2 linked regions of the Kluyveromyces lactis genome follow. The protein of the gene in region 1 purifies or fractionates together with the protein of each later gene. This does not show direct contact. Links are inferred from orthologs where the notes say so. Each region holds a gene or a part of one and is shown on either strand. Other genes may lie near its edges.

What was found.
Region 2: the proteins of GLO3 (region 1) and COP1 purify together in Saccharomyces cerevisiae (affinity purification with mass spectrometry; 4 studies listed by BioGRID). This does not show direct contact. The link is inferred for Kluyveromyces lactis from reciprocal best matches to the Saccharomyces cerevisiae genes GLO3 and COP1.

What each region holds. Positions count from the first base shown.
Region 1 is NC_006041.1:616,622-620,291, forward strand, and holds GLO3 (ADP-ribosylation factor GTPase-activating protein), read left to right. Parts: upstream 1-1,509; coding exon 1,510-3,057; downstream 3,058-3,670. Other genes in the region: MRX3 (Mrx3p), read left to right, coding at 82-831. UniProt on the Saccharomyces cerevisiae protein: GTPase-activating protein for the ADP ribosylation factor (ARF) family. Involved in retrograde vesicular transport from the Golgi to the endoplasmic reticulum.
Region 2 is NC_006042.1:478,766-482,691, reverse strand, and holds the start of COP1 (coatomer subunit alpha), read left to right. Parts: upstream 1-1,009; coding exon 1,010-3,926. Other genes in the region: CRR1 (putative glycosylase), read left to right, coding at 1-509. UniProt on the Saccharomyces cerevisiae protein: The coatomer is a cytosolic protein complex that binds to dilysine motifs and reversibly associates with Golgi non-clathrin-coated vesicles, which further mediate biosynthetic protein transport from the ER, via the Golgi up to the trans Golgi network.

The sequences.
Region 1 (3,670 bases):
CTGATTATACCTGGCGTGTTTGAGAGAATATCCCGAAGCAAGTTTTCCAAGTTTGAGAGTTTTGTTTTCAGTGGTCGAATTATGAGCGGGAAGATTTCCAGGTACGTTATTTTACCCTTAACGGGGTTCACATTGGGCTTCGGATATTTCGTTAAGCCATGGCATTTGGATGAATCAGCACTACAAACGTTACATAGACCGCTACAGGACCAACGGACCGATGTATTGGATAAACTTAGGGCCACAGAATGGGTCAAGAAACTTAAAGAGTCGTCTGATTATATGATGCATCGTCAATCGGAGAAGATCCCTGTACCTCATAGAGATTATCACGTAGGTCAAGGGTTGCTTTACGGACCAACTAAGCTTGAAATTGATCCGGTGGTGTTTACAGATAATGCACAGAACAAGATCCACGTCATATATCATTTGGGCCACAATTTAGGCAACGAAAAGAATGCAGTGCATAAAGGTGTACTTTCATTGCTATTAGACGAGGCTTTGTGTTTCTGCGGGTTCCCTACACTTCCCAGTAAGCGTGGAGTCACTGCATCTCTAGACATATCGTTCCAGAAGGATGTTCCAGTTAATTCCACCATTGTGCTCAACGCCCAGGTCATTGAAACCAAGGGAAGAAAATGTATCATTACAGGAACGTTGGAATCACCACCTCTTGATCCTTCTACGAAACTGGGATCCGTAAAGTCCTTAGTGGCTAAGAGCGTACCCAATTGGATATACAACCCTAAACCGACCGTCTACGCTACTGCAACGTGTATTTTGGTGGAACCTAAATGGTTTAAATACGTTTCATGGATTAACATATTCTGATCTAATACCACCTTAAGGTCTCCGTTATATATGCCAATAATATTATATTTAGTTCACATACTACAACATTCAATATTAAGTATACCATATGCTAGCATTGTACTGGTGCTCGGACATGATGAATACCAGTTAATTCATCATCCCATTCCCACTATTGTATTGTTTGGTCCGGGTAATAATAATACAGACTATTCATATCTGCTATTTTCTTTGACATCTTTAAATTGAAAGATCGAATTTCTAAACAGAAAAGGTTTTAACACAGGACAGAACGGTTATTCAAATTTTGGACCGTTAAGGAACGTAGTTTTTGGTCTTAGTTAAGTTTTTTACACTGCTGGTAACATCATAACAGGTGCAACAGACTACTGTACACACTTTGAGCGCGGGAGGGACACGCCGAACTTACAGAAGTATTTTTCGCAAGTTATTATTAAGGTGGTAAGAAAGCGTGTTATTAAGTACTCTGTTTTCTAAAATTGATACTTAAGAGTTTTTTCTTGCGATTGATCTAGCTTTTGAGATACGATCTGAATTTACCAGGATAATCTGCTACAGGAACGTGAATCTTTATTGCCGTATCTTAGCATCAACTTATTAACTTAACACAAGGGTGTTTTTTTTTCCGGAATTTCAGCATTTCATTATCATTACAAGAGGATTTATTTTAATTAAACCATGGCTAGCATTGACGAATCGGGAGAAGTGTACTGTGACAAGGAAGTCGTGACTAAAGTGTTTGCTAGACTGACAACCAAGTCTGAAAACAGGGCATGCTTCGACTGTGGCGCCAAAAATCCTACCTGGACTTCAGTTCCGTTCGGTGTTCTTCTTTGCATCGATTGTTCCGGTGAGCACAGAAATATGGGTACCCATATTACTTTTGTGAAGTCAAGTAATTTGGACAAATGGACTGTCAACAATTTGAGAAGGTTCAAACTTGGTGGTAACGATAAGGCAAAGGATTTTTTCTTAAAGAACAACGGCAAACAATATTTGGGTTCTTCTAGCAACCGGATGGCTAAATATACAAGCCAGGTAGCCAAGAAATGGCAGAGCCATTTGAATCAAAAAGTGGCTAGAGACGCTGAACAACATCCAGGTGAAATTGTATTTTCAGCAGAAGATGAACAAGAATTCACAGGGGGCAGTTCTGGTTCTTCAAAGAGCAACAGCGTTGATGATTTCTTCTCAAACTGGGAAAAGCCTGTAAACCAAAGTAACATATCTTTGACGTCATCTCCTAGAAATTTAACACCAACCAATACTGGCAATAGGAATGGTTCTTCTATTCTGTCCGGAAGTGGTTCTGCCAACAAAACCAGCAACGGTGCTAGATCCACTACAACTAAGAGAACTACTTTGACAGGATCAGCAGGCTCTTCTCAAGCAAAGAAACATTCCATCCTTTCCTCCTCTCGTAAGTCAAAGAAACCGGTTGCAGCCAAGAAGGTGGATGCTGATTTGTTTGATCAATTCGAAAAAGAAGCCAAGGAAGAGGAAGAATTGGCCTCAAGTCTCGCCACCACTTCCCTTAACTCCAATAATTTATCGAATTCCATATACGATGCCACTCCTGCGCCATTCCAACAAAAATCTGGTTTCAGCTCTAGCAGCAAAATAACCAAGCCATCTACCAATGTCGAAGACGCGGAGGACGACGAATGGTCCAACAGATACAATGATGGTATTACTTTCGATCAAATCAATGCTTCCAATGTAGGATTAACTGGAAGCAAAGATGCGGCAAAACCAAAGTTGGCTAAACTTGGGTTTGGTATGACTTCCAATAATGCAGAAAAGGAACAAAACAAAACTAACGAATCAAGGAGGGCTGCCTCTGGTCCAAAGTACACAGGTAAGATTGCCCAAAAATTCGGAGAACAAAAGGGTATCTCTTCAGACCAGGTGTTTTCTCGTGGAAGCTACGATGACGAGGCAAGTAAAGAAGCTCAAGAAAAACTCAGACAGAACTTCAGTAATGCCACATCTATTTCTTCAGCCTCATACTTTGGCGAAGGCCAGAGCGAAGATCAGTTCGACGAATTTGGAAGACCATTGAATCCACAAAATGGAACAAGAACAAACAGAAGCGGTTCTCTTGGCGGACGAAACTTCATGGAGTTCACGTCTGGTGCTGATGACGAATTTGACCTGTTGAAGAACGCTGTTGAACAAGGAGCGCAAAAGCTAGGAAACTACCTAAGAGATTACATGAGAAATTAATTCCTATGTTAGTTTATTGTAAGATAAAGTATAGTCATTCATCAAGGAGTTAACGTTAATAGTATCAGTGCCATAAGTTCCCCATAAGTTCCCTTCTATGAAAAAAAATCTGAACAAAACTTTATGGCTTTATTGTAATAGAAACAAATAAACAAATAGATGAAAGCTTGTCCTTAATAGGATACCCTTTTCAGTCACACATCTCTTCGTTGTACCATAATATGAATACCGCCATTATTTGGATAATAATAAATATAGGATCATTCCAAACACCCAGTGTGTAGTCAGAGTTTGAGATTTTTCAACACACCTACATTTTCCAAGGAATACCAAGTGTCTATTGTGCTTTACGTATTATTTAATGATTATTTAGTAGCTTGAGTAGCGAAATAAGGATTATGCAATCCAGTGATCATGACAATTATTGATTAAGTAGCATTTAGAAAGTTGATTTAAAGAATGATATGTTCTTGAAAGACAAGAAGATTAAGGTCGATTCGAAGTAAGATATTAACGCGTAGTCATGGGCCATAAACAAATCTTGTCATGTCGGAGGTATATCTCGTGTACAGTTCGAGAAGAAAGAGGTGAAGAAAGGAGTAAATGAAAGTCC
Region 2 (3,926 bases), on another chromosome or scaffold:
AAAACTCGCCCGATATACTTGAGAAGGGTCAATTTTATGCAACTGTGGAATCAATAGCCGTTACACCTTACGAAAACAAATTCTGGCCATCAATAGTTGATGAACTAGAAAGATTACATTTACCTATTGATGCTAATTCATTGTTAGATATTACTTACGATTACAATTATGACAAGTTTAATGAGCATACGTGGTTTGAAGATTCAGTCATTTGGAAGAAGGGCAAATTACCTTATTTATCTTCCTTGGACAAGAATGGCCTAAATCCGGGAAGACAGCAACAAAGTCTTTTGGTAGGTAAACAATTGAAGCAAGAGCAGGGAGATGGGCCGGATCAGAGTCCTTCAAACAGGTTTATTCAAGACACTAATAAACCATCGGAAAAAAATCATGAAGAACAAGATTTGCTCCTACGAAACGCTCTGCAGTCACGCGATGCTACCACAAATGGGGGTTCCAGTCACAATAACAGAAATCCTATCAAAAGATTGCTTAATATGCTACATTAATCAGTAAAGGTTGCCCAGATGTTCACATCTACACTATACATGTATAGATATATAGACCTATGTATACCACTCTCGTATATGCTATCTCTTCTAGCATTCTCTTACGCATAGAATCTGTAGAGATGCGTCTGGCACAAATTCGGGTAATTATTACCCTACCATTACGTCCTTTGCATACTCTTCGGATTCTTCCAATTTTCAAAAAGGACAACTTTTCAAATAAAACACGATCTTATTTCAAAATAGTAAGCCATATGTGTATTTTAAGTAATTTTATGAACCTTGAATGAAGCTGACTTTGGCTAATAAACAACGATCAAGGTACTTTGTCGTCTAATTGAGTTGTCAGTGAGGACTAACCATCGAAGGAAAGCTTCAATCGTAACCAATTGGTATATTGTTAACTGCAATTGTGACGTTTTCTTCCGAGTTATTCTTCTTATATTTCTCACAGTTTTTACTCAGATTTAGATCGAAGTCTTGAAAAGCTTGCTTTCATCATGAAGATGTTAACTAAGTTCGAATCAAAGTCTACCAGGGCGAAAGGTATTGCTTTTCATCCGTCTAGGCCTTGGGTTCTGGTAGCACTTTTCTCATCAACCATCCAATTATGGGATTACCGTATGGGTGTTTTGCTTCACCGTTTTGAAGATCATGAGGGTCCGGTACGTGGCATTGATTTCCATCCAACGCAACCTCTTTTCGTTTCTGCAGGTGATGATTATACTATCAAAGTATGGTCTTTAGAGAGCAACAAGTGTCTATTCACATTGGACGGCCATTTAGACTATGTTCGTACAGTATTCTTCCATCACGAATTGCCATGGATTATTTCCAGTTCCGACGATCAAACCATCAGAATCTGGAACTGGCAGAACAGAAAGGAAATAGCATGTTTAACTGGCCATAACCACTTCGTAATGTGTGCCCAATTCCATCCAGTCGAAGATTTGGTGGTTTCTGCTTCTTTGGATGAAACCGTTAGAGTTTGGGATATTTCAGGGCTAAGAAAAAGACATTCCGCACCAGGCACTCAATCATTCGAAGAACAAATGAGACAGCAACAGAACTTACTTGACGGAGGATTTGGAGATTGTGTGGTGAAGTTCATTTTAGAAGGCCACACTAGAGGAGTAAATTGGGCTTCTTTCCATCCAACTTTACCATTGATCGTTTCCGGTTCTGATGATCGTCAAGTGAAATTGTGGAGAATGAGTGCCACAAAGGCATGGGAGGTCGATACTTGTAGAGGTCATACCAACAACGTTGATTCCGTCATTTTCCATCCTCAACAGAATCTCATTATATCAGTTGGTGAGGATAAAACCGTAAGAGTATGGGACTTGGACAAGCGTACTCCAATTAAACAGTTCAAAAGAGAAAATGACAGATTCTGGTTAGTGAGAGCTCACCCAAACCTAAATCTGTTCGGTGCTGCTCATGATTCTGGTATTATGATCTTTAAGTTGGACCGTGAAAGACCACCAACTGCTATAAACCAAAATCAGTTGTTCTTTATCAACAGGGAGAAACAAGTCCAAATGTTTGATTACCACAAGAGAATCACTTCTCTACCTTATCTTTCTTTGAAAAACATCGGCAAGACCTGGAGTTCATTTAGAAGTATGTCTTATAACCCATCCCAACATTCCGTCCTTGTCAACTCCTCCGAAAAGGAAGCCAACAGGTTCAGCTTATGTGTCTTACCTAAACAACCTAGTGGAGCTGTTGAAGCTAGCAACGTCATCTCTGATGATGGTAGTTTTGCGATCTTCGTTGCTCGTAACAGATTTGTGGTGCACAATGGCAGCACTAATAGCTTGGAGGTTCGTAGTTTAGATAACAAAACCACAAAGTCAATCAAATTAACTGATACTGTTAAAGACATCACATTAGCTGCTCCTGGTACTGTTTTGATTCTATATTCTCATTCTGTGGTAATGATGGACGTCCAACAAGGTAAAATTCTTCATGAATTATCTTTAAAGAACATCAAGTATACAGTGTGGTCTCAAGATGGCCAATATGTTGCATTGATGAGTAAGCATACATTGACAATCGCAAACAGAAAACTGGAAATCGTTACATCAAACCATGAAAGTATTAGAATCAAGAGTGCAAGTTGGGATGAAACCGGTGTCCTAATTTATTCAACATTGAACCATATCAAATACTGTCTATTGAATGGTGATTCTGGTATCATTAAAACCTTAGAAAGAACATTATACATCAACAAGGTACATGGCAAATTTGTCTATGCTTTGAATCGTGAAGGGGAAGTAGAGATTTTGACAATTGATCCTACTGAATATCGTTTCAAGAAGACTTTAGTCAACAAAAATTTCCCTGAGGTATTGCGTATCATTAAAAATTCAAATTTAGTTGGTCAAAACATCATATCTTATCTTCAAAAATCAGGCTATCCTGAAATTGCGTTACAATTCGTGGAGGATCCTCAAACAAGATTTGATTTGGCTACACAATACGGTAATTTGACAGTTGCTCTTGAAGAAGCTGAGAAATTGAACAATGAACTTGTATGGGAAAGATTGGGCAAAGAAGCTTTGATCCAAGGTAACACAGATATCGCTGAATTGGTATATCAAAACACTAAGCAGTTTGATAAACTGTCTTTCCTATATCTACTTAAGGGAGACAACTCCAAACTGGCAAAAATGGAGTCTATTGCTGAACATAGATCAGATATTTCCGGCTTGATTCAAAATACCTTTTACAATAACTCAGTTCAGAAGCGTGCAAATGTCTTTTTAAATGCAGGCTCTGCTCCTTTGGCTTATGCAGTGGCAAAAGCTAACGGCGACGATGACCTTGCCACTTCCATTTTGGAATCCGAAGAAATTGATGAGCAAGACATTTCCCTACCAACTGAACTCAACTCCTCCACAAATGTAAAAACCCCTGTCATTTCTGCTCCTTTGAAAAACTGGCCGTTAAAGCAAGCTGAAGTCTCATTCTTTGAAAAAGCCCTTTTGGGCCAAATCGAAGATCTTGAAATTTCTGATGATAAGGAAGAAAATGTTTCAGATACTACCCAAAATGTTGGCCAGTTTGATTTAGGAGAACAAGATAACCTAGACTTTGATGATGAAGCTGTTGGAGAGGAAGAAGATGCTTGGGACCTAGACCAAAATGATTTGGAATTAGACGACGAGTTAGAGATCGAAGAATCCGAAGTGACTGAAGAACAAGTAGATGAATCAGAATTGCCAATGTGGGTTAAAAATTCAAAGCTTCCAGCAGTTCTAGTAGCCGCTGGAGCCTTTGATGCTGCTGCCCAAGCCTTGAATAAGCAGGTAGCCGTTGTAAACTTCGAACCCCTCAGGACACCATTCATTGATATATACGATGGTGCAAGAACTTATATGAGTGCTACACCAAATGAATTACCTTCAATTA